Linked DNA regions of Drosophila melanogaster. The protein of the gene in region 1 interacts with the protein of each later gene in a pairwise test. Each region holds a gene or a part of one and is shown in the gene's direction. Other genes may lie near its edges.

Region 1 (6,019 bases):
GGAAGCTCGACTGTAGAAAGATCAGCAAGAACAACTAGTCCAGGAGTCCACGCAGTTGCTGGTCATAGCATTTATCTTATCGGAAGCGGATTCCCGATCACGAACGCAGATGTTTGCCAGGCACGCCCGGCCAGGTAAACACTTCCGAACGCACCTTGAGACTGAGCGTCTGCTTGGAATCGATGTCGTTGTAGGTGAGGATGTTCTCCTTCATCCCGAAGCTCTCCCTAACGCCGTAGTGATAGGAAAGCGGCCGCTGCTGGGTGAGAATGCTCAGGTCGATAATGGCCACATCGGCGTTGTAAAACGTCTCCAGCACATTCGTCTCGCCGAAGTCCAGGCGCTCGAACTGCAAGGATGCCAAGTGGGGGGGATGTAAGTCAAATCACCCATATGCCATTGTATAACCAAGCTGGCGCACCTGAACCCGCTGAAAGTTGGCGCCCGCCGACTGCACTGCCTGCTTGATCTCCTCCAGCGCACACTGGCGGTCCTCCAGATGGTCGCCCACCGCCGTATCCATTACACACACCACATCCATCGCTGTTTCCATCGCAGCTATTCTTGGCACTTTTCTGCTCTTGGACGGATTTCGCGCACTTCACGCGATTTCTGCACTTTCTGGACGGCCGACACGCGCAGCTCAGTGGCAAAAACTCTCATTACCACGTTCCTGCTGCACTTGCATCGCGTTAATTACCGCGTAACGAATAATTATCAAATAAATAAAGAAACTTTTTGCTTTTGCTGTGTGACCGCTGCACAGCTACCAGCAATATACCGAATGAAGTCACAAAAATACCACACAAATATGCTAACCGACAAAGCCTTGCTGCAGTTTTGGCGCCAAGTTCCCATTTTTTTGAGTCATTTAAAATTTGGTTTAAAAGATATAATATAATTAGGCATATAAAATAATAAGCTTTGTTTATAAATATATTTTAAAAGCACTTAAGGTTCATTATTTTAATTAATTTACAAATATGCAACGTCTAAAAAGTAGTCAAGAGTTTCACTTATTTTACTTTACTTTTTGAACGAAGATTTATTGTTTTGCTAACTTTTTCTAAAGAATTAAAATGTTGTAGGTGTTTTTTTCATGTATTTCTATCTATTATAAACAATTATACAACTCAATAGAACTAGCAAAATAGTATATTAAAAACGTTCTTTATTAAACGAGACACAAGTAGTACGGATATATAACTTTGATCTTAACTAGCATATTCCTTTAGAATGGAGCCCGCGATCACCAGTCGCTGGATTTCGGAGGTGCCCTCGTAGATCTCAGTGATGCGGGCGTCCCTGTAATGACGCTCGGCCGCCATGTCGGTCACGTAGCCCATTCCGCCCAGGATCTGGATACACTGGTGGGAGCACAAGGTGGCCGCCTCCGAGGCAGCCAGCTTGGCCATTGCAGCTTCTTTGGTGTAGGGCTGCTTTTGGTCCTTCAGCCAGGCGGCGCGCCAGGTGAGCAGACGTGCCGACTCCATGGCCAACGACATGTCCGCGATCTTTTGCTGGATGGACTGGAGCTTGGCAATGGGCTTGCCGAAGGCCTGTCGCTTCTGGGCGTAGTCCACGGCCAATTCGAGGGCAGCCTGACCAATGCCCAGCGCCTGGCCAGCGATTCCTATGCGGCCGGCGTCCAGCGTCTGCATGGCAATCTTGAAACCGAAACCCGGCTCGCCCAGCATGTTCTCCTTGGGCACCACGCAGTCCTCGAAAATTAGCTGGCACGTCGAAGATCCCCGGATGCCCAGCTTATCCTCCTTTTTGCCCAGCGAGAAGCCCTTGGTAGCCTTGGGCACAATGAATGCGGAGATGCCCTTGTGCTTCAGCTGCTTGTTGGTGGTGGCGAACACAATGGCTGCCTCCGCCTCGAAGGCATTTGTGATCCAGGCCTTGGTGCCATTCAGCACGAAGTGATCTCCCTTGTCGGTTGCTATGGTGGAAGCAGCTCCAGCATCGGATCCGTTTCCAGGTTCAGAGAGCGCGAAGCAGCCCACTCGTTCGCCGGTGGTAAACGGTGTGATGTAGTCCTTCTTCTGGGCATCGTTTCCGAAAGAGAGAAGCGGTCCCAGATACAGGGAGTTGTTCACCGACATGATGACGCCAGCAGAGGCACAGCCCCTTGAGATTTCCTCCATGGCAATGGCGTAGGCCACATAATCCAGTCCAGTGCCGCCTGATTAACAATAAAGAGATACAATGAGATACTATAAGGAGGGCTGAGGTGGGCGTAATATTAATTACCCAGCTCCTCGGGAATCGCTACTGCCATCACGCCCAGTTCGCCCATCTGGCGGATCTGTTTCTCTGGATACAGGTGCTCCCGATCGAACTTGGCTGCGTTTCCACTGAGCTCATTGTTGGCAAAGTCCCGGCAGGACTTCTGCAGCATCTGGTGCGTCTCCGAAAGCGCCGACAATGAGGCAATTTGACGAGCATTTAAAGATCTGCGGGCTGAATATCAATATCTGGTTTAGGATCTTGCTTATAGAAAACATTTAAATGGCTGGGGCTCAAAGTCCACACATCAGTTTGTCTTACCAATGCATAACGAGCGGGTGAGTACTGATTGCATGTTTGTGTGGGATTGCCTCTTACTAATAATAATTAAATATATTGCATAAAAGACGGATAAAATGTTATAAAAAAAACTCTACTATTACAAAAAATTAAAAATGGACAGTGTGACCAGAGGAGGTCACCGGCTGCATCTGCATGTAACAAGTGGTTCATCACAGGGTGACTCTTGTCCCGAATTTAACAAGTCGTCTTGTTACTAATTTAAAATTAAAATTAAAAATTACTAACTTTTCACTCATACGAAAACACTGATGGGTACTTTTAAAATGAAATAAACATAATTCCTAAGGTGCACGGAAATAAGATCCAACATGCCGCCTGAAAAATACTAAATTCCCAAATTCGTAAATTCTCGCGTGCATTCTACATTTTCAAGCTAAATAATGTTGGTACCATCAAATAATTGTTGATTTGTTTAGTTATTATTAAAAGAACGCAGACCAAACGAGGGAAATATGTCGCAGACATGCCAGAGAACGGAAACACTGACGATAGAGGCTCTAGATTTCATCTACGAGGACGAAATGGAATGTGAGTACCAATGAATACCTAAATGCCGGCTGAACTACGATTGATTTCGCTTTTTACAGACTTGCACCTAAAACAAGCGCCCAGAAAGGAGGAGCAAGTCAAGGCGGTGAAGATAAAGCGACTGACTTGCAACATAAACGGCTGCACTTACTCCACGGACCGGAGAAGAGACTTGAGGCGCCACAGGCGGTCGCAAAAGCACATGCTGCTGGAGTCCTGCTCTGACTCCGAGTCTGAGGTGGAATCGTCACTGTTCTCGTGCAACGTCTGCGGCTACAAGACCGCCAAACGGTATTGCTTCGACCGGCACAAGGAGTCGAGGCGCCACATAATGAAGGAGCAGGAGGAGTGCGAGAAGCTGATGGACGAGGCCGAGAGGGCGGAACCGGCGGTAAAACGCATAAAAAGAGTAGAGGAGCCAGCGCCCGCGGATGCGGAGAAAACACGATACACGGAAGACATCCTGACCACGTGCACGCCGTGTGACTACAGCACCACTCGAAAATCTCAATTCGAGATGCAAGCAAAAAGCCAGGCGAACATCGAGGTCGTGCAAAGCCAGCTGGAGGCTAATGAATACATACAGTATCTGCCCCAGGAGCAGGAACAGATGGTGGAGCTATCTGGGGAGTCTGGGGAGACCGAGGACGAATACCTCGCCTACAAGAAGGAGTGCAGGTGCACCCTGGAGTGCAAGCCCTGCGAATACAGAACGGCCAGGAGATTCTGCTTCGTTCGGCACATGCGATCGGCAAGGCATCTGGCCAAGATTCAAGCTGACCTTGATGGTCTGGAGGAAACTGAAGCTCTTGAGCCAGTAGAATACTTGGAAGCGGAAAATGAGCTGGAGGAGATTGATCACAGAGAGGAGAGAAATTTTGTGGAGGAGCTTGATATGGATGTTATGGAAGAGCCAGATGTTGTGGAGGATATACAGGATATAGATAAGCAAAACGGACTGGAAGAGATCAATCTAGTGGAGATCGACGAGGTGGTTCAAATAGATCCCGGCTTTGAAATGATAGAATATACAACTGCCGAAGAAAACGTTTACGAGGAGATCGTGTACCTGACCACCGAAGACAGTCCGGAGGATATTTCCTACTTCATCGCGCTGGACAATGCATAGATTTGTTAATTTCTCGACTCTTTGGTACTTTTAATTACATCGAAAGCCAACGAATTGTTAAATTACAATCAATGCAATAACCAAACTTTAGATATTAATGAACTGTATAAAAGTTTTTGACTCTTGATAAGCCAAAATTCTTGAATTAAGAAATATTTTAAATGTAAAGAATTGAAAAGCTATGAAAAGATTGTTTATTCGTTGTTACTACGAATAAAGAATATTGATTTTGAAATTTGAAAATTTTGAGTATTATTAATGTTATGTGTGAGTGAGTATCTTTGGAATTTTGTCGAAGTTTTGATGCTGCACAACACTACCAATTTTTACCGTTAAAAATGGCTTATACCAATTTTTATAATATAATAATAATAATAATAATTTCAAGCTTCCATGGAGAGAGTATTGAAACAGAATAGTTTCAATAGTCACCAATGACGGCAGGCACAATCGCGTGCGAGTGCGAATACTTTTGCGCGCCACTGTACATCTGGCAGTTTTCCATTCTGGTTTTGACAGCCCGCTTTTCATCTCTGCGCAGATTCGACGCGCACGCACTGGAACTTGTTTAACGTTTTTATGTTTTTCACTGCACAACTTTGTAAAATCAGCACACGACATTTAACACAGCGCACAATTATTTCCGTGTGTCCTGCGGGAGGGGAAGGACACGTTCACATTCATCAGCACTGAGAAGGAAAAGAGCACCACAGTAGGAGTCCCGTTTGTTGTCCTATTGATTTGCCCCCACTTTTTGGAGTTTTTCGTTGTTCCTTTTCGGCATCCACCGCCCCCGCTGCGCCCACGAAAGACAGGTAAAAACAAAGTGCAAGTGCTCCCAGTGTAAATATAAACAAAAGAGGTGAGATGTGATAACGCTCGCTCACTCTCTCTCTCTCTCTTTGGCGATCTCTCGATAATGCCGCGTGCACTGGTGTGCGTGGGTGTTCATCCAGGCGCCTATATAAAGGGCCGTTCATTCACGGCGAGCCCATTAAGTTTTAACGAGAAGCTGCCGCCAGATCCGTCAGGTGTAAAAGTACCGTGAGTCTTCGCCTCTAGGATTTTCCCATTTCTAAAAAGTGACGCGTGTGGAAAGCTAGTGACTAGTATCACTTACAGGAAGTTGTAAAAAACTAGTGCCATAAAAGTGATCTGAGCCAGTAAAAGTCTTAGATTATTGGCGGCTACAGAACAACAAAATATAAACTCCAATAAAAAGGATAAACATTGAATTAAGTAAAGTGCATTTAGACAAATTTGGATATTTAAAAAAGGAATGCTCAAAACGAACTATTGAATTCAGCAAAACATTATTAAAGTTTTTATTATTTGTTTTAAAAAATTTAGCAAAAATCAATCGCTTTTAATATGTGCACGGGATAAATACGTCAAAATAATCACTTTTAATATCGATGTTTTTTATTTGTATTTGATATTTGAATCCCAAAACTGGCAGAAACCAGGAATTGAACTTAAACTTATGCGCCACCATTGGATTTAAAACAAACATTTATGGGTCCAGTTTACCACTTTGCTTTTATCGCGGCCAAACAAACCGTTCGTGAAAAGTGCTGAAATAATAAAAGAACCGAAAGAGCGCAATCATCATGCGTCCACAATCTTTAGATTCCGCACATTAAGTGGCAGCCGATTGGTTTAGGAGGAACTAATAATAGTTTTAGTTGTAATCCCATTACAGCGGCACCTGTACAGGATACACGTACACCCCGACCAATGACCTGGCACCTGAAGCTAGGGAATCGA
Region 2 (6,635 bases), on another chromosome or scaffold:
CTCCCCCATCCCCTCTCCACACCCAGCTCATAGGATTATTACTCCTATAGATGAGTAATTCTTATCTCTGATGTTGTTTCTACCTGATGTACGAGAAGTATGTTTTCCATCTAGGCTGTTTGTTTCAAATTGTTTGTTTAGTCTTAAGTCTAGGTCTTTAAGCGAACGATGCGTTATACACTCACACAAAACACTCGAAACACTCACTGCGAGCTAGCCTTAGTTATCGATAGAGATATCGATCCTGATACCGATTAACGATATATACGTGGTACATGATTTTCATCACAAACGCATTTTCAAGTAGGCAATTTATTCCAATTTCATATTGCACATTTCGCACACGATTTGTCATTAAATAGAATGTGCGAAGCACTCGAAATGCAACAAAAAAAAATGAAGATTAAAATGATACTCAAGTATATAATGTTAAAAACACAAAACATCAATGGCTAAATAAAAGTTTAACGAATTATCTGTACAAGATGGATTTCTTTTTGTATGTTTCACATTGCAAGTCTTAACATATGTGTACATATATTTATATATATCTGTTTACTATACATTTTCATTTGCCTCGCAAATGTATTTGAAATCAGAAGTACAAGAAGCAACCCACATGCCACCGTTATGTATAGAAACGCAACGCTGATCTACATGTTCGTATAGTGGCTCTCCAGGATTCCATTTCAAAAAAGGTGCTCTCTTTCCGGAGGACACAGATATGAAAACGCCCTTTTCAGCCAGATCACTAATGCCAATCATATAAGTGTTGTCTTTGCTTAGTTGCGAAACGATAGCATTAAAGTCTGCTTCATTTATAATTGAGGCTAGATTACCTCCCATCTTTTGACATGCGCTCAAAGCACTGGTCCAATTTTGTTGGACTATGTCTTCGATGTGCAAATATCTCGATCCGATTCGCTTGAACCTATGTAAAATATTTATTTTCGCAGACATATTCTTCAGCGACGTCGTTATACTAGTCAATGCTTCCTGTAGGTCAGATAGTTGACCCTCCATCTTAAGTTCTGACCTATTGGTTCTGTTCTCGATATCCTCTGCAATGATCTTCTTCCACGATTCCGTTAGCGATGTCTTCTGGCTTTCAATTTCTTTTTCAATATCCCTCTGTTGGGCCTGTATTTCTTGCAACTTGCAGGTTTTCCACTGTTCCTGGTGCTGGGCAATGTGACCGATCAATGGCATCAGCGCTTCGAGGCTTCGACACGATCTGTCTCCTCGCATCCTGAAGGTGATGCATTTATAACTATTGCGATAATTGCGTAATATAGGAGAACTTTCAGCTGGAACATGCTTAGCAAATTGAACCTCTTTAGACGAACGTTTATAATGCACTAAATGTGAATTCCTATGCTGCAGTCTGAACAGCAGCGCAATATTGTTGATAAGAATTTATAGATATAATATATATTTTACTGGAAAAATAAATATCATGCTAAGTATTTTCAGCTTACGCTAAAAATAAAAAATAATATAAGCTATAGTGATAATTATGACAACAGCGCAATATGAACAGCAGCGCAATATTGTTGATAAGAATTTATAGATATAATATATATTTTACTGGAAAAATAAATATCATGCTAAGTATTTTCAGCTTACGCTAAAAATAAAAAATAATATAAGCTATAGTGATAATTATGACAATACTTGGATTGAAATTATATATAAAAGCATATCATGAAAATATATTAAACAGTAGTACAGATAAGCAGGAACTTTTATGTTAAATATAGTTTAACGATTTCTTATTTTCATTGCATGTTAATGAACTCAAGATTCAAACTACAACGCCGTTGGCGTTGCCACGTTATGTTCGCCCGCCAGATGGCGCCGCAGCTAGCCTCCAAACTGTACGCAAGTGCTTCTCAAACTTTTTATCTCCATTCACCGAACTTGAGCTTTGTTTCGTTTATTTGCTTGCGTTTTATTTTCTTTGGCGCTTGGATTGCATACAATTTGATTTGCTCGATGCGGAAAAACGATTTTCACGGAATTTCCCTTAAGTATTAAGATAATTAGTAGCGAAACACCTTAAAACGGATTGGATTACAGCCCTTTTCCCGCAGCCACCTTAATAACAATCAGCCGGGTCCACTTTAATTGACCCGTTACCGTTGTCCACTTGGTGAAAAAAAATGGAAAAAAAGTAGAGGTAAATCCGTGCAAGCCCCATCCATTCCGGTGCACACATGCTTTTAAACCCGAACACACACTCAACAGCTCCTTCACGAGCCTGCCAAATGTAAGCGAACTTAAAAACACATCGTTTGCATTTGGCCCCTCTGCCCACCACTCACCCATCCCCATCCACGAAAAGCCCCATCATCACCTCACGCCCACTCTGCCCCCTGAAAAAGCCCCCTCCATCAGCAGAAACTCCAAGCGGCACTTAAGTGACGCTCCAGCAGCTCAACTATCACCATGTCCATATTCCTTTTATTCCAGGTACTCACGCAGAAAAAAGGTATATTGTATTTGTACTGTTGCATCCCAGAGGCGGTAAAAGCTATGGATTTCAATCTTTGAATGCTAACGCCTGCACTTTTAACTCAATTTTTGGGGATAACCAACTTTTAAGTATTTATAAAAAAGATTTTGTTATCTATTTCTTAAGCTATATATTCTTTTAATAGTTTAGTAATAGTGTTTAAAAATATTTAACAATGAGACCATACTTTATAAATTTTTTTTTTTTTTAAGTAAAACATATTTTTTGTATAATACATTACATTATTGTTTTAAGGTAAAGAAATAATGGTTACTAGCGTTTAAAGATCGAGTGACCATGGACATCTTCTAGTAAAGACGAGGTATCACTCTATTTTAATGTTCCTGGCCAGTGAGCATTTTGACGTCTACAATATAAACATCATTTACGCTGTTCCTTTTGTTTTAGCCTCGCTGATTTTGTTTACCTGAGCCTCAAAGCCACTGTCGTTGGCCGAAAGCAAGAGATTTTCCGAAAGAGAGTGAAAGAGTGAAAGTCCGACTACCCTTGGGGTCAGCAATGTGGCGTTACCATACGCGATTCGCTCTTTCTTCTGGCACGCCTGCGCCAAAGAGAGGCGGAAAACTCTTGGGAAATTCAGGCCCAGACCGAAGACCAAAACCGAAACCAAAAACCCGACTTCAGTTGCCATTGTAATGCCAACGCAATCGGCACGCGTTTGGCTTTCGCGCCTGGCGGGTTTTTTATTTATTATTCGCTAAAGTGACAAGCCAATACAAAAGAAAAACAACAAAGCTCGCTGAGAATCGGGGAAAATCCCAGTGTGTTGAATATAAAGTATAAATCATGTGCGAGGAAATCAAGGCAATTTGGAAAGTCGAAGGAGTTGAGCCAAAGATGAAATCAACAGCGAGAAATTGCCAGTCATAAAAAAAGGGTTTGTGTTTGTTCCTGTTTCGTGTGTGTTTGCGTGCCAGTGTGCTTGTGTGTGTGTGTTGTGCCAAAAGGGAAATCCCTTAACCCCCGCCTACCCGCTACCCCGCAGGACCCTTAACCCCTGACTTCAGCTAGACTCCCCTATTGTGCGTCGTGTACAATTAGAAGGCATTGCCAATCGATTTGTGTGAAAAGCCAAAGCTAAAACTCAAAAGGTGGACGACGCCAGTCCTCCAATAAAAAGCGAACTGAAACCGGGCAGGCAAAAAAAAAGTAAGGGACAAACCCATATAAAAGAATGGAAAAGCTGCCGAAGAAGTTCCCTCCAGTTGGCAGGTGCGCGTAGCCTGAAAAATGAAGTTGAACCGACCCGAAGTTGTTGCCTGTCATTCAAAGGGGATGGCAATGGAATGGCAATACAGAAGAGGCCAGCGTGTATGGAATGGGGAAATTGGGGCTGGGAATCGGGGGACAATATTAATGAAAGACGTTGCAAAAACGTCACGTTTTCCCCAGTCAAATTGAAATAATAATAATGAAGGCATTGAAGAAATGTCACGGCCCGCGACTGACAAGTAAAAATGAAGAAATCCAGTGGAATTTGCATGAATATCTCAAATATATGTAAAGTTCAGCACAACAAGTAAAGTTAATAATTTCAGTGATATAAAACATAACAAGCACGATAAGAAGCATGCCCCAAAAGCATGCCATTCCGATATCTAAGTTTGAGTGACACGCCTTAGAAAGCCCATCCCAAAGGAACATTTTAAAGATGTTCAGACAGTTCCTCAGAGAAATGAAATAATAACTTAATTAAACTCAAGAATAAAAAAATAAAAATTTAAAAGTTAATAAAGCTTTGCAAAAGCAACGGAACCTTTACCAGAAATATTGTGTGACTATAACAAATTTAAATTTAAGGTATTAGAAATTAAACCACATTTAAATATATAATCAATTCTAACAGTAATCATAGAAAAGTTTTTAATTAATTTTTTAATTAATACTGTAACTAAAGTCCTAATGTTTTCGGTAATAGAATGCAAAACCTCTAAAACACTTTATAGCTCCAACAAAGAACTGAAAATTGTTAAAAGTCTGGGCTTAAAACTTTTTTTAATGACCGAAAGGAACTTAAAAGCGTGTACATAAACTTTTCAAATAGAATTAAACTGATGTGAAATACGACAGTCCCAAAAGAACACTAGAAAGACAACGAAGCGCATAATTTCCCACCATAAAAGCCCAAGCAAATTCAACATAAATTTGATTTTATGCACAAGATGCTACAAGTGAATAAAACACGAGCTTAGTGACAGTGACAGTGCGAGCGTGATAGTGATGATAGTACAGTGAAGCATATGCCCAATAAACAGATGGCCCATAACCATAAAGCGAAAGTGTTATGGCCATTACCGAAGGGCAAGGACCCTTCTTGGCGGCAGGACCAAATAACTTATGCCCATCGGGCCGAACCGAAATCGCAATTTATGACAGGCCCAGCAACTATTTAAAGAACCATAAAACCCCCAAAAAACAAACAAAGTTTATGGGGAGTGACGATTGCATTTTAAGATCCCCAGACATAAAACAAAAGCCAGGATTTGGGCCTCTTATTAACTCCCAATTTTATTCGTTACCCCTCCCCACAAAAGGAAACGCAAGTGCTTCCAGCAATAAACTTCCACCGCCAACTGTGGCGAACAATAGTCAAGGAACCATGGCCACCACCAGTACGTCAAACATGTCCCGCAACGGTGGCTTCTGTGGTGCATTGCAGCGGGCACCGCCGCCGATGCCGCCGACCCTCATCCGACGCCTGAGTAGCCGGGAGTGCTACGGAGTGGGCAAGGTGAAGGTCATGCTGCGGGTGGCGGACCGGGACAGGAACTCCGGCGGAACCGAGCCGGACTTTATGGCCCTGGACAAGAAGAAGCGACAGGTCACGCTCACCGATCCGAGAACCGCGTGTCCGCCGCCCCAGGCTGCCCAGGAACGGGCGCCCATGGTGGCCGCTCCCAAAATGTTTGCATTCGATAACCTCTTCACTGGCGAGGATAAGCAGGTGAGTTTCAACCTTAACGAAAATCTGAATGGAGTGCACGTTCACACATGGATGTTGAACCAATTTATTTAAAGCATCCTTAGATCCAGAATAAGTTTAAGAAATAGGTATAAAACATCATAAGTATAACATCAATTAAATCAAGTTGAAATATTCTAAAAATCGTTTGAAAAATATGTAGTTAAAAGTATTAATTCTAATTTATTTAAATGTAAATAGCAAATTTGTTTAAATAATAACAAACAAGAGCAACCGTTACCAAGTAAACTAAATACTTGATTGGTTACTGTTGACACACAGTATAATTTAGGTGGCAAATAACCCTTATTAACAGCTATTAATTCTTGATAAACAAACAAAAGGCCCACCTAATAATAATAAGGGTAATACAATATTGACAATAAAACCATTCATTATGTACAAAAAACTACAAAACTTCCGGCAACTGAGAGTTAACACTTTGCCAGTGTACTTTGCTTTTCTCAAAATCAACAAAACTTTCCAGACTTCTCGCGATGTTATTTGTCTGCAGAAAAATGTCCCTAACGTAAATATTGAGTTGCAATTATAAAAGTTAAATTGACCGTGGGAATCCTTTTGTGAGAAGGGCACATCTGTGCATTATATGAATAATTTGGTGCAAACGATAAATGTCTGGATTTTTTGTCTCGAAGCTATGCCATTTAACTTGTTAAGAGATTACAAAAGAGGTGTTAGTAATTCCACAGAATAACAAGTCACCACAAAATACCACAATCAATCTTCATAATACATAGCAAGCAAAGTTCCTTTTCAAGATTTATGACCCTCCAAGTGCAATCACTCATAAGGCAATCCCTCAGACCGAACGAAAGAAATACCCCCAATAGAATTAACACATACGCGTATTGTCCTGCCCCATCGGATCTAATCAGCAATCGAATTAACCCCGCAATCGAACCCAATTCCAGCCATTAAAGAGAGCCCATTAGTATGCCTTGTTAGCCACCACCCACTGACCTCCACTCCACACCTATTCGTTTTCGATAAACACTAAGAAAAATGCTTGGTGCTTGTAAGGAAGGAAATTGGAAAATATCTTATATCATTTATATTTACTTATTGATACCCATTGAAACCATCATTATTATAAACTCCTATATATTACCATTTAGT
Region 3 (6,886 bases), on another chromosome or scaffold:
GACATACGGACAAACGGACGGCGGGCAAACGGACAGGCGAGCAAACAAAAACAGGAAGCGTGGCTACCACAAATATGCACGGCACACGGGGCTGGGCTCTTAGTTTTGGGTAACTTTGGGCTGGGATGTAGATACTAGATGGCTATCTGGCTGGAACTTGGCCACTTTGCTGCCGAAATAATGGCGGCCGGCAGGCGTTAGCCAAGGCGGCCATAATTAATGCGCCCATCCCCGAAAAAGTTGCACGAAACGCAATTAGAAGCAGGCACATAGTCGCACACAGTCGAACGCCCTTAAACCGAATTTCCATTTATTATATAAACTATAAATTTAATATAAAACATGATTTTTCAACTAATTTTGAAGGTTTTTTTGAGACAATGCTTTTCTTTTATTTGTTCGTGGTCGAGATTCTTACTACCAAAAACTAGAGATATTATATTAAAGATAGGCTAAATAGATATGATTGAATGAATTACTTTTTTCTTCAAAACAAAATTTAAATGGTTTTACTGTTGTTGAATGAAAATCCTATCTTAACATTAGTATTTATGTTAAACAAGGTAAATGCACTAAATTTATTATACATTTATTAAAAAGTTATTGGGATACTTACTAACTTTTATAATTTGTGCATTAAATTTACAAATATTATCTGATTTAAATTAATAAATTAACAAGGTTGTATTCAAAGAAGTTGGCCTGTAGCAGAAGGCATAATTTGTGTTGTCTTGGAGGGTTAATTTGCGCCCCCTCGGGCGGTTTGTTAGATACAGTGATAAATGTTTAATTAGCCGCGTTATTAATCTAATCAATCATGCAGGCCGAAATCAATCAGAAGGGGGAAGTGGAGGGGCTGGGCAGCGCGAGTTAATTCCGCTGCTTAACATCCGATCAACACTAGGCCCCCTTTCAGCCCCCCCTTCTGACAATCACTGGCACTTTGCCTTTCTTTGAGTTTTCTTAGTGTTCTCCCATTGGGCATAACTAGGTATTCCAGTTACCAAGGGAGCAAGAAAGACAACTCTATAGCTAGTGCGCAGCTGCGCGTCTGCTCTTCAGACACGCCTCTCACTCGCTCTCACTCAGTTGGCCAGCTAACTTGAGTTTGTCTCAAATTATGTAAGGTGAAGGTGAGTCGAGCTCAACGCGATCTCCCTCTCTTTTAATCTGTTTTTTTTCTTTCTTGTCATATATACATATATATGTATATTTTTTAGTGGAAGCAACTTTTGCCTGGTCTTCTATCAACATAAATAAATTAGTACGCCTGCGTTGGCAAAAGTTATGTGCGCTGCGTGCATGGCTGTGCATTTTGAATGGCAAAACTTGTGCCTCTCTATCTCCGTAGAATCATTGTTATTTTGCGCTGCGAAATTATAGGCCATTAAAATTGATTATTTTCCATTATCAGTGTGGGAGGTTGTCCGTTCGCCGCCTCTCTGTCACACCCACTGGAAAAGAAAGGGGGGATAGAGAAGTGCCGCTGCAGTGGGGAGTTGCAATAACAACACCTCTGGCTGTGCAAAAATCATTTCACGTTAAAGGGCCCAAATACACATGCATGCATATGTACATACACAGACTTAAAAGTTGGCGGCCATTATTACACGGCTCCTGATTTCTGTAACTCAGCCAACCAGCGAACAAGTGGGAGTGAGAGGGGAACAGTGGGCGAAATAAATCAATTAGCCGACCCATCTTCACCTCGTGCCGCTCCTGTCACTCCACTGCAATCGCAATGCATATTGCGCTTTCCTTCTCGCTCTGTCTCCTTTGCTGCGCAGCCTTATCTCGCTCTCTTTTTCTCCACCTAGTTAATCGGTTACGTCGCTGCTTACCACCTCCTTGCCACCCAAACTGCACACCCCACTTGGCTAGTAACCACCGCGGTGGTTGGCCAAAATGAGTGGAGTCGCGTCCAACGTGGATTCATTGGTTTCTCGTCCGGCCAAGTCACTAATGTCCGCCAATGTCCCGTGTAATGCGCTTTTTGCTCATCCTCGATTTTGGGGAAGAAACAGAAGAAGAAGGGGTTCAGTGTACGGGAGCCAAGGATATGGGAATCACGCAAAAAAATTTAACATTTCATATTAAATTTAAACGATTTAAAATTATCGGATTTTGGGATAAAGAGAAAACTGTTTTTTGTTATGTATAGTTTGCACACATCACATATAAACGTATTTAAATGCAAACATGATATATTAAATAGTTTACCGCCTACAGCCCTTTGAATGTTTATCTCATGAATTAATCAATACAATAGTCAGAAAACAAATATATATAAAAATTGTAATAACATTAATGGCACATTATTATAGAACTTAATATTACATCTTTATATAGACACAATTTTCCAATTGTATTAAAGGATTAGGCAGCATATCATATAATATCATATCTTATTGTGTTTTATTTACTTTCCCTAAAATCACTCAAGCTGAGTGTTTCTTTCAGTGCTTCCTTTGGTGATCGATGATTGACAGCCGATTCGTGGTGTCGGCATTTCCATATAACAACTTTTCCAACTGGCCAACACCACGTATGTATTACCAAACAAAAACGCCGCTCAATTAAAAGGCCGAAAGCAACTGGTAGCGCAGTTCGGGCCAGAAAGTTTTTGATAAACAATGCACTGAAATCGAATGCCCGAGTAATTAATTATTGAACTTTTACAACTGCTACGCTTTTCTCGGCATATTTTTTTCCACCTCCGATTTTGCCTCTCATTTCCTCAGCAAACTGCTCAATGGGGCGACGCTCAAAGCGAGCACACACACACTAACGCACCCCCCCACACACACACACACACTCAGAGGCGGAAAAAAAAAACACGGCTGAATGCTCAGTGGCAAACCGACCACAAGCACAGGCAAACCAGAATGCAGCAACACAACAGCTATAGCAACCCGATCCAGGTTTTGGCCAAGTAAGATATTGCGCTGCCGGTGGCTCCGAGTTCAGTCTCATTCAGCGAGTCGGCGGGCGTTGAGTTTGAGTGCGAAGTGCGGTGCGCGTCGAGTCAGCGAGCGTTGAGCAGCAGCAGCAGCAGCAGCAGCAACAACACGACGCAACAGCAACATCAGCCGCAACAGAAGCAGCAACAGAAGCAGCAACGTGCAACTTGCAACAGCAACACAAGCGAGCGGTTTCGGTGCGCGTTTTCGAGTGGCGTGCCAAAAAAAAAACAAAAATTTCACAAATAATCCCTTTCAAAAAAACCGTCGGTGAAACACAGAAAGCCCACAAAATGCCGCCTGTTGTTCACTGAGAAAAAAAAAATAGCCAAACACATCAATTGCATTGCTGGCGCTTGAAGATTTTTGGAAGCGTGGCATGGCAACCAGCACCTCACCCGGACCCACAAGGACAACTGCAGCCATTAGAGTCTCCCTGCCAGGAGCAGCACCCGCAATTCCCGCTACCGCCACCGCCGGCTCTCAATCCCCCGGCGCCATCATGCCCATGGCCGCCGTGCCGTTGCCGTCGCATCTCCAACTGCTGGGCAGTTCCGCGGGAGGCGTCGGTCAGCCGGCGGCAATCACGCCCGTTTCGCCCACGGCTGCTACCACAGGTGAGTGCTAAAATAAATAATATTTTACAAGCCTTGTTTGGCACATTTTAATTTATTGTTGATGCGAGTTCGATTGGAACAAAACGCTCCTTTCTAATTTAACAAAAAAACTTTTTAATGACTTTATCGACTTTAATTTGAATTTTAACAGGCTTAAGTTTCAGTAAAAGTATCATATATGAGTTTCTAAAGAAAATGTGCTCATCCAGAAAAGGAGTAGTTAGTTTTATTTAAAAAAAATTTAGTAATATTTTTTGAATGGGAAAACGTATGAAAAATCATAACTGACAGTTTTCAGTTTTCAAAACCAAATACAATTCAGAATTCATCTGAGAAACTTTCTATGCATTCTTTCGTTTACTAATTACATTATATTATATTTATATAATAATATATTGTATTATATTTCTAACAAGTATAAGGATTATAAGGATAATAAGGATTTAAAATATAAACTTTTATTAAAGTCAGCAGCATATAAAATGTATTATCATCCAATTAAATTCTTACAATGCCCAATCCTAAAAATTTTATTTAAATTGTTTTTTTTTTTAATTTGTTCACGTACAGCAAATTATTTTTGTAATTTTTAAATACAGGTTTGTCTTATTATTTTTAGCACCAAAGCTTTAAAAGTAACTTAAATAGCCTTTAAATTCATTGATTTTCCGATTGTTTGATTGTTTTTTTTTTTTATTTTGCACGAGAACTACAAATGTTTTATCTCCACTAACGTTTAAGTTAAGTTCGTTGGTTTCTTAGTTGATTTTACTACTAATGTTGCCCCTTGTGGCACTGCTATTGCTGCACGCTCCATGTGAGCCGCAAGATTCGGGCGAATTCCGTGAACTGACATGGAATCGGGAATCGGGGGCTCGAAACAGTTTAAAACAAAAGCCAACCGGGCACAAGAAACTGGTGGCACTAGTCAAATGCATGCTGGAGCAGTGCAATGATTTGGAAATTTCACAACAGCAACGCAGCAGCAGCAGCAGCAACACGCAGCAAGACACAACTGAGCTGTGGCAACTGTTTTGGTCTTTCGCACATCAGTGGCAATTTGTTTTGCACAAGTATGGGTTGTCAAATAAAATTAGTTCACGTCGGCGGCCATCGAATGTATCTGCAAGATACACACACACATAGTACGAGTATATTCCCCGGATGGAAAAAGCGGGACGCAGCGGACAGCAAAGCTTTGACTTGTCTCTGGAAGGTGTTGGAAGTTGCACAATAAATAAATAATTATAAAAAGAGCCCCGAGAGGTAGAGACTCACTGAAAAAGAGACACCAAAAAGAGGTGAGAAGGGGGGGGGGGAGAATCGAAGGGGGGTGGAAGGTACATGGCATACATTGAAGTTTAAGCATAGGGCAGAAACCATACTTAGGGCTCTCAGGTTACGTGGTGCGTGTATTCACATTATTCTTAGAAAGCCAAGCGTATAAAAGGTGTGCACAATGATTCCGAGGAGTGCCTCAGTTTCGCTGGGGCTCGGTATGGTTTGTATGTAGTTCGGTTTTTGGTATGGTTAGGTTTGGCCATTTCGTATGCACATGGTCCGAACTCCTTGCGTTACTCTCCACTTGCGTTACGTTGGCGAATATGTGTGTCAGCCCAGATGGTGATTCTTCCGGCTAAGGAATCGGGGTCACCATTTCAGGACATTTTGGGCATTGCTAACAATATGCAAAAAGAGTAATATTAGTACTTACTAAAGTGTGCTACCTTTAGAAATAGATATCATAACTTTATTTGGTATAGCTCACAATGTAAAGATCTCCAAACTAAACTCATATCAGTTCTCCTCAATGATTAATTCCCGTACAACATCATTACTTTTTTAATATTCCTATGAATTTTGAAATTTTAAGTGATACGGAACACACCCATATTTTTTCAATCCAATTTAATAGTCCCAAAAGATTTGTCCAAGGCTACGTTTTATCATCGTTGAGATAAACATACAAAATTAGATACACAATTAAAAAGCAATTATGCATCTGTGAAAAGATAAAGGTGTTTTATTTCAATTTGCATTTTTGCACCATACTGGTTAGCCACAATTAATAGCCATGGACCATAAGCCAGAGCCGTACAATGAAATCCAATAAAGGATGGCATAAAATTAGACTGACTTATGTAAGAGCACGTCGCCCCGCCGCAAAATTCTTGGAGCTTAGGAAAATGTGCGAAGATCGCAGTAATGCGCACTGGCAGTAAAAACCAGAAGCTTCGCTTTCCAGAGGACGAGTAATGCGCTGCGCGCGACAAACAAGATCAGCGAGCACTAACTGAAGGGGATTGGGATTGGGATTGGGATGGGTATGTGGTTAGAGGAGATCGGGATGGGGATGCGTCGAGGAGCCACATAAAAAGCGAGCAACTTTAATTTATATGCGCTGGCTGGCTGGATGGATGGTGATGGAGAGGGGTGGAGGGGGGCTGGGGACGAAGCGGCAAAAAGTTACCGGTAGCAATAAATCAAACTATCAATTGAATTCCGAGGCGATCATCACTTGTGGCGAGCTGCGATCCCCAGTTCGAGTTCGAGCTTTAGTCCAACTCCGATCGGCATCGCTTCTTGTTATAAGTCTCACGGTGACGTGCGAACGAATGCACTGAGAAAAATGCATACTGAGTCCAAAGAAAGAGTACGAGTTTGAGGGATCTATTATTAACACTCATTTAAAGGCAGGTATATGTACATATATTTAAATCAGCAATAGCTAGCATTTACATATGTATTGTATATAAACCAATACATAAATAATGTTTGGCCTTTAAATTATTATCTCTCGATTAATTTACTATAATAACAGATTTAATATAAATCAAGACCACATATGTTATTATATATTTATGTATATTTAAAACATATAATATCTTCTATTTCGAATTAAGCGCTCATCTGAATATAAGGCTATACTAGGAAAGCATCTCACTAACATATTAATCCATATAAGGATAAACACCCATTAAAAATGTCAGTGTACAGTATGTAGAAGAAGAGCGAGTGGCTTTGGTTTTGGGCCGTGGTTCCAGCGATTTTAAGCCGCTTTTGCAATTGACTGAGGCGCATCGCAGGGCAGTCGGAGCTGTCGCATTGCGTAGTAAATCATCGGTCGATCCATAGAATCTGGACTGTGACTGCAACACAGGCAACAGGATCCGGGACTGGGGCAATCCGGGGGCAAGCTCACCGCCTGTTGACATCCAAGTTGGCCGGCTGTTGCGGCGGCATAAATCAAGCATGGCCATAACCGCGGCCACAACAATTGGCGCAACATGCGAGTGCAACAAATTGCAG
Region 4 (5,116 bases), on another chromosome or scaffold:
GCGCCTTTGCTTTTGCTCGTCGACGTCGAATGTGGCACGTGATTGCGTTATAAATTACAAGCCATTGGGATTCATATAGTCCTCGCAGCCCTTCCATTCCATCCCTCCGTGCATCGTGGTCTCCTGCTGATAGTTAATGTTCCCCGGCATCCGTTCGGCATTTCGAATTATTTTCGAATCCATTTGATGACCCACTAGTCCACTATCTCCAATACTCCGGTGAATTCCAATCGAATATGCTTGCAGATGTCGCGTTTGCATGCCTGCTATCACCCAATATGAATCCAACTACCTGGAAGGACTACAGGCGATCATCGCTATACGGAAAATAACCATTATTAAAGATTAAGAATCTATGGGACATACAATCTCCACTTGACATGTTGCATAATAGATATATTTATAGGGATTTAAACCTTTGCTGTGCAACACTTTGTGGTTAGTATGATAAAAAACTGCCTCCACAAGAACCAAACCTTTTTGAAAAAAGTACATTCGCGCTAAGGAAGTTCGACTGCCAAAGCCATATGTGTTGCATGTAATTTAATATTCATTATATGCACTATAAACGCTGTGCCACTACGATTGCATGATCTGTCAATCTGCCCAATTGCCAGGACTATCTGCCCCCTTATTTTTCCACCTTCCAGTGTTTTCCTCGTTTGGCTTTTCGGGCGATAAAAACGAAGCGAAAAGTGCCGCTATCTATTAATATCGCTTTTGGCTTTTTCGCTGGCGGCTAGCTGGTAACTGGTAGTTGGTAGTTGGTAGTTGGTATTTGGTAACTGGGAAAAGCTGGGAATGAAAAACGCTGAAAACTCCTAACGAACGACACCTGCCCTCGGAAAATGCCACTACTGCACCCCGCGAGAAACTTTCGCCCCATTTGGTGGCGTGTGTCTCGCTTTTCTTCTTGCTGTTTGCATTGGTCGCCCCTTTTCCTTTTGGCGATACACTGCTGCTGATGTTGCACGAATGTTGTAAATCAAAAGTAGGCGAGTCACACGAAGGGTCTTCCTGCCCCCCCGAAATCCCTGCCACCGCCGATAGCCGCTGCTTGCCAGCGCCTCTGCTGCTGCGCCTATTTGACTGGCAGGCCGAGCGGATAACGCTGGCAATTATCGCGCTTGTGCCTCACGAACAGCGGAAGCGGCAGAGGCGCCACATCATGTTACCCGGCCCGATTCCCCAGACCTTCCACATCCCCAAACTCTTTGTTAGCCTGCATCCTTTGCTTTCTTTTGTACCACTCGTTTTTCTTTGTGCAATCCAATTGGTAGCGCTCAGAAAACAAAGCAAAAACGATTGAAAATAACAACAACCAGTCCCGGCTACAAGTCCCCCAAAATATGGCAACAGAAACAAGAAGAAAAAAAACGATTCATATACGAGTATAGCCATGCACCTAGACCACCCCATCCGGTCAGTCAGTCAGTCATTGAAGTCATTTATTGCCACCAAAAGTTTTTCGCTGTTTGCCATACCCTCGCAGAGGTTATTACGGCTCAGACTAGGAGCAGGACACGAAGGATCTCAATGGGTGTAGTTATCGTATACAGGACTGTAAGAAGTTATAACCCAATGACATTACCTATAGGACTATCATTATTATCAAATCTTAATGACACACATCTATATGTGTATATTTCATAGCTGAATATGGCCATATAAATGAGATGTTTCTCTTGCAACTAAACCTACTTTTTAGGACTATATATTGTGCATACACATAACACGTTTTCATTAGAAAGAAAGCTTAATAACAAAGGGCATTCCATGCTTCGGTTAACCAATCGAGCCTCACTGTTGTACTTATTTTTACTTCTGGTTGTACTGTACTTGTCTTTGGAGCTGGAGCGGATCTGAACGACTCCTTCCCGGGAAGGACCGTTCCGTTTCAGTACGTTCCGTGTGCAGGATATGTTTACAATTTGCGGACACGCCGACCGTCATTTGATTGCTCCCCTCGCGCTTGTCGAATTCTCGGTTAATTCGCCAGGTGGCTTCAGACTGCGCATTGCCATCGGCGGCGGGGGGAAAGGATTGGGAGGCTTTGGGGCGGAAAAATGGGAGGGCAATGATAAGCGTTCCTCGTTTGTTTGCTCGGAAGCCTCACGGAAGATGACGTGCCCGGGATGGCCCATAAATGAGACTGGCCAAAGCAAACAGACCGGATACACAGGATACATTCAATCAAATAAGGCTATTCGTAACCGGAAAAGGGCAGGACGACTCTATGTCTTCCTCAATCTGACCAAACACTCCGCTAATCGTATGGTTAATAACTAAAATACCTGTGGATAATCTTTAAACGTTTTCAATATGTAAGTCAGTGAGATACAGATACAGTAGATTGAAGCTTTCTGACTATATAAAGTATTTACTTATTTATGATGAGCAAAATTGAATGTTGATGATGAACATTTTATTTGTTCCAGCAAATTGTTCAAATTCAAATTAAAAGTAATGGCGCCAAAGATAGAATTCATCTGTTGACGAAGGCTGGCAGCTACAGAACAATCTAACTAAGCTATGGGATTCGTTTCAACACACTCGTCGTAGAACTCCACTAGTTTTGTTTTCTCACTAAATTAACATGCAGCCCCGCGATCTTATGCGCATTTTAATATTATTCTGCTTGCGTTTTGCATTTAACTTTTTGATTGTTTACCTCCAAAAACATAACGCCGTTCCAGTGGAGCAGAAACGGCTTGGAACCCTCGATAGAGGCAAAAGCTGGAGGCTATAAAACTCGCACAGCTGAGTTTTATTTTGCACGCGACATTGAATTTGATGAGATGGAAAAATGCATTATTTGCGTAGATAACTTGAGAAAATACAAGTGCAGCAAATGCTCGGCACCCTAGTAAGTAGCTATTCGAACAGTTCACTACGGAGATAATAAATGTCGCAAAATGTAGCTGCTCTGTGGCTTGTTATAAGACACACAGGGATTCGCCCCAATGTGCGACAAGGGAGTCCGACTTGAAAAAGACTGAAGTTGGCTACCAGGAGGAACCTACGCTTCATGTGCCCTTCCCCACCGACGACACAGTTGCCGCGGAGAAGCTCCAGCAACTAGGTAGGTGTTTAAATTCGCAATTATACACATTTCTCATAGTATGATGGTTTCCGTACAGAAAACTGCCAGGAACTGCGTAATTTGCTCCACAATCCACACCTGCGTTCGCTGCTCCAGCAGATTGATGTGGCCATCAATGCCCAGTCGGCCATGATGGCCGCCATGCAGGAGCCACTCTTCGTGGAGTTCGCTAATGCCTGCCTTCAAGTCGTCGAACCGATGACGGATGCTGAGCGCACTGAATTTGAGTTGTACTCCTGAATTAAGTTGACACACAGTCTCAATAAAACTAAGCCTTTATTTTGTAACTAATAGTACTGTCAATCCTTGGCAGCTTCTAGAGGAGCTTGCATTGAAGAACTCCTGGAAACTTCTCATTGAAATCCGCCGGTAAGGTTGAATCTTTTCCATAACCAGGGAAAACGTACAACTAATTATTTGGCTCGGCCATTTAAAGTTATCTATCTCAGCTGGCATATCAAACTAGTCATCAGTCTACAGCTTCGTTCCTTGGCAATCAAACTCAATCAAAGTAAATTGAAACTGGATCCGAGTTAAAAGTGATTTTTGGATGCTTCATGTGCAACTTGAAAAGCCTATGTTCCCCTTGCACTTTCCAGGTCATGGGGATGGGATCCTGTAATGAAAAATATTAGAAACGAAAGCTAATATAAGTTGTGAAATACTTAGACCTCATTAGACATGAGATACGTGTTTAGTTCCACATAAATATTAAGTGCTGTGGTACGGTTTTCTCCCAGTTTCTTCGCATCGAATGTGAACTCCTTAAATCCGAAGGTGCAATGGTATATACCCAGGACCTCGTGTGTGTTTAGGTTTTGTATTAAGGTATGAAACTTAATTTCGTCCACACAAACCGAATTTTGTATATAAAATTCATTGACATTAATGTGAAGATGCTGATACGCATGCATACCAAAATTAGCCACCTTTAGGGTCTTAATAGCCACATTTAAACCGTAAGTTTCACAAAATATGGATGTATTTTGGCTTATCTCGATCATATTTATAGTGCTTCTCTTCGCAGCTATGAGAATCTCTCTCAGAAATCCGTATCTAACGTGACCACAAAGAAATAGCTTCTTCAAGTGAGTTAGACGTTCCAGTTTCGATAGGAACCACACCATCATTTCCTCCTGGAAGCACTGCAGCTGCTCTAGGTTTCTAATCCCTTTCCAGGGCAGTTCTGTGTTCGAAATCTGGTCAATATCGAAGATACCCAGCTTCAGGGATTTTATTTTTCTGGTTTTCAGGATCTGTATCAAGTTGGTGACATTGAATTTGCTGCAGTAGGAGACCGTGAGGTTCTCGAGAAACTCGAATTCATCAAAGTGTTTGCCAGTAAACTTTCCATGGGGGCTAAAAGTTGTCAGATTTGGAAAAGTTTTCAACATTCTTGGCACGTCCGCATCGTTTAAGTTAAACGAATGCGTGGAAAATCGAAAATCTTTAAGTTTTGGAAAACTACAGCTGGTAAGTGTTTCGAAGTTAGATCTATTATTCATTTTGAGCCGCAGAGTGCTGAGGATTTGTTGAGTACTTTCCAGGAAGAATAGCAAATCCTTGTCGCTCAGCTGCATTTCAATCAAGGATATATATGCACATTTGTTATAAGCACGCCACACATACGGCATTAATTTCTTAAACCGGAAATGAAAGTCTTTCAGTTTTAGTTGGGTCTTCAAGTCGAGATAACTTAGAATTATCATTAGAACATCATCGGGCAGACATAGTAAGCCAGGCTTGGTATTCTGCAAAGGGCAAAAGAAATTAGGAAACTTGTATACTTATATTTCTGCTATATTGTTGCATTGCGGTACCATAAGATCGGTGTTTATCATTGTCGGTCTATATTCGTATGTTTAGCTAATATCGAGTCCAAATAAAACAATAAAATTATAACAAAAGTTTTATCAACATTTTTAAAATGATATCTGTTAATTTTGAGTATTTTTGGTGACAGCAGACTGTCAGCTGCGATGTTGGTTAGTCACCGCGTGCTGTAAGCGAATA

Evidence for each region.
Region 2: the proteins of CG17186 (region 1) and CG14535 interact in a two-hybrid assay, tested with the Drosophila melanogaster proteins (one large-scale study listed by BioGRID).
Region 3: the proteins of CG17186 (region 1) and toe interact in a two-hybrid assay, tested with the Drosophila melanogaster proteins (one large-scale study listed by BioGRID).
Region 4: the proteins of CG17186 (region 1) and CG8204 interact in a two-hybrid assay, tested with the Drosophila melanogaster proteins (one large-scale study listed by BioGRID).

The regions. Positions count from the first base shown.
Region 1 is NT_033777.3:19,874,446-19,880,464, reverse strand, and holds CG17186 (uncharacterized protein), read left to right. Parts: upstream 1-2,950; 5' UTR 2,951-3,047; coding exon 3,048-3,123; intron 3,124-3,182; coding exon 3,183-4,252; 3' UTR 4,253-4,491; downstream 4,492-6,019. Other genes in the region: Ask1 (apoptotic signal-regulating kinase 1), read right to left, coding at 155-349, 422-541; Arc42 (Activator-recruited cofactor subunit 42), read right to left, coding at 1,215-2,188, 2,257-2,466, 2,554-2,587.
Region 2 is NT_033779.5:7,851,802-7,858,436, reverse strand, and holds the start of CG14535 (uncharacterized protein), read left to right. Parts: upstream 1-2,961; 5' UTR 2,962-3,413; intron 3,414-5,070; 5' UTR 5,071-5,135; coding exon 5,136-5,480; intron 5,481-6,635.
Region 3 is NT_037436.4:12,428,767-12,435,652, reverse strand, and holds the start of toe (twin of eyg), read left to right. Parts: upstream 1-2,984; 5' UTR 2,985-3,339; coding exon 3,340-3,577; intron 3,578-6,886.
Region 4 is NT_033778.4:15,571,416-15,576,531, reverse strand, and holds CG8204 (uncharacterized protein), read left to right. Parts: upstream 1-2,540; 5' UTR 2,541-2,798; coding exon 2,799-2,866; intron 2,867-2,921; coding exon 2,922-3,082; intron 3,083-3,140; coding exon 3,141-3,343; 3' UTR 3,344-3,388; downstream 3,389-5,116. Other genes in the region: CG30466 (uncharacterized protein), read right to left, coding at 3,606-3,719, 3,775-4,854.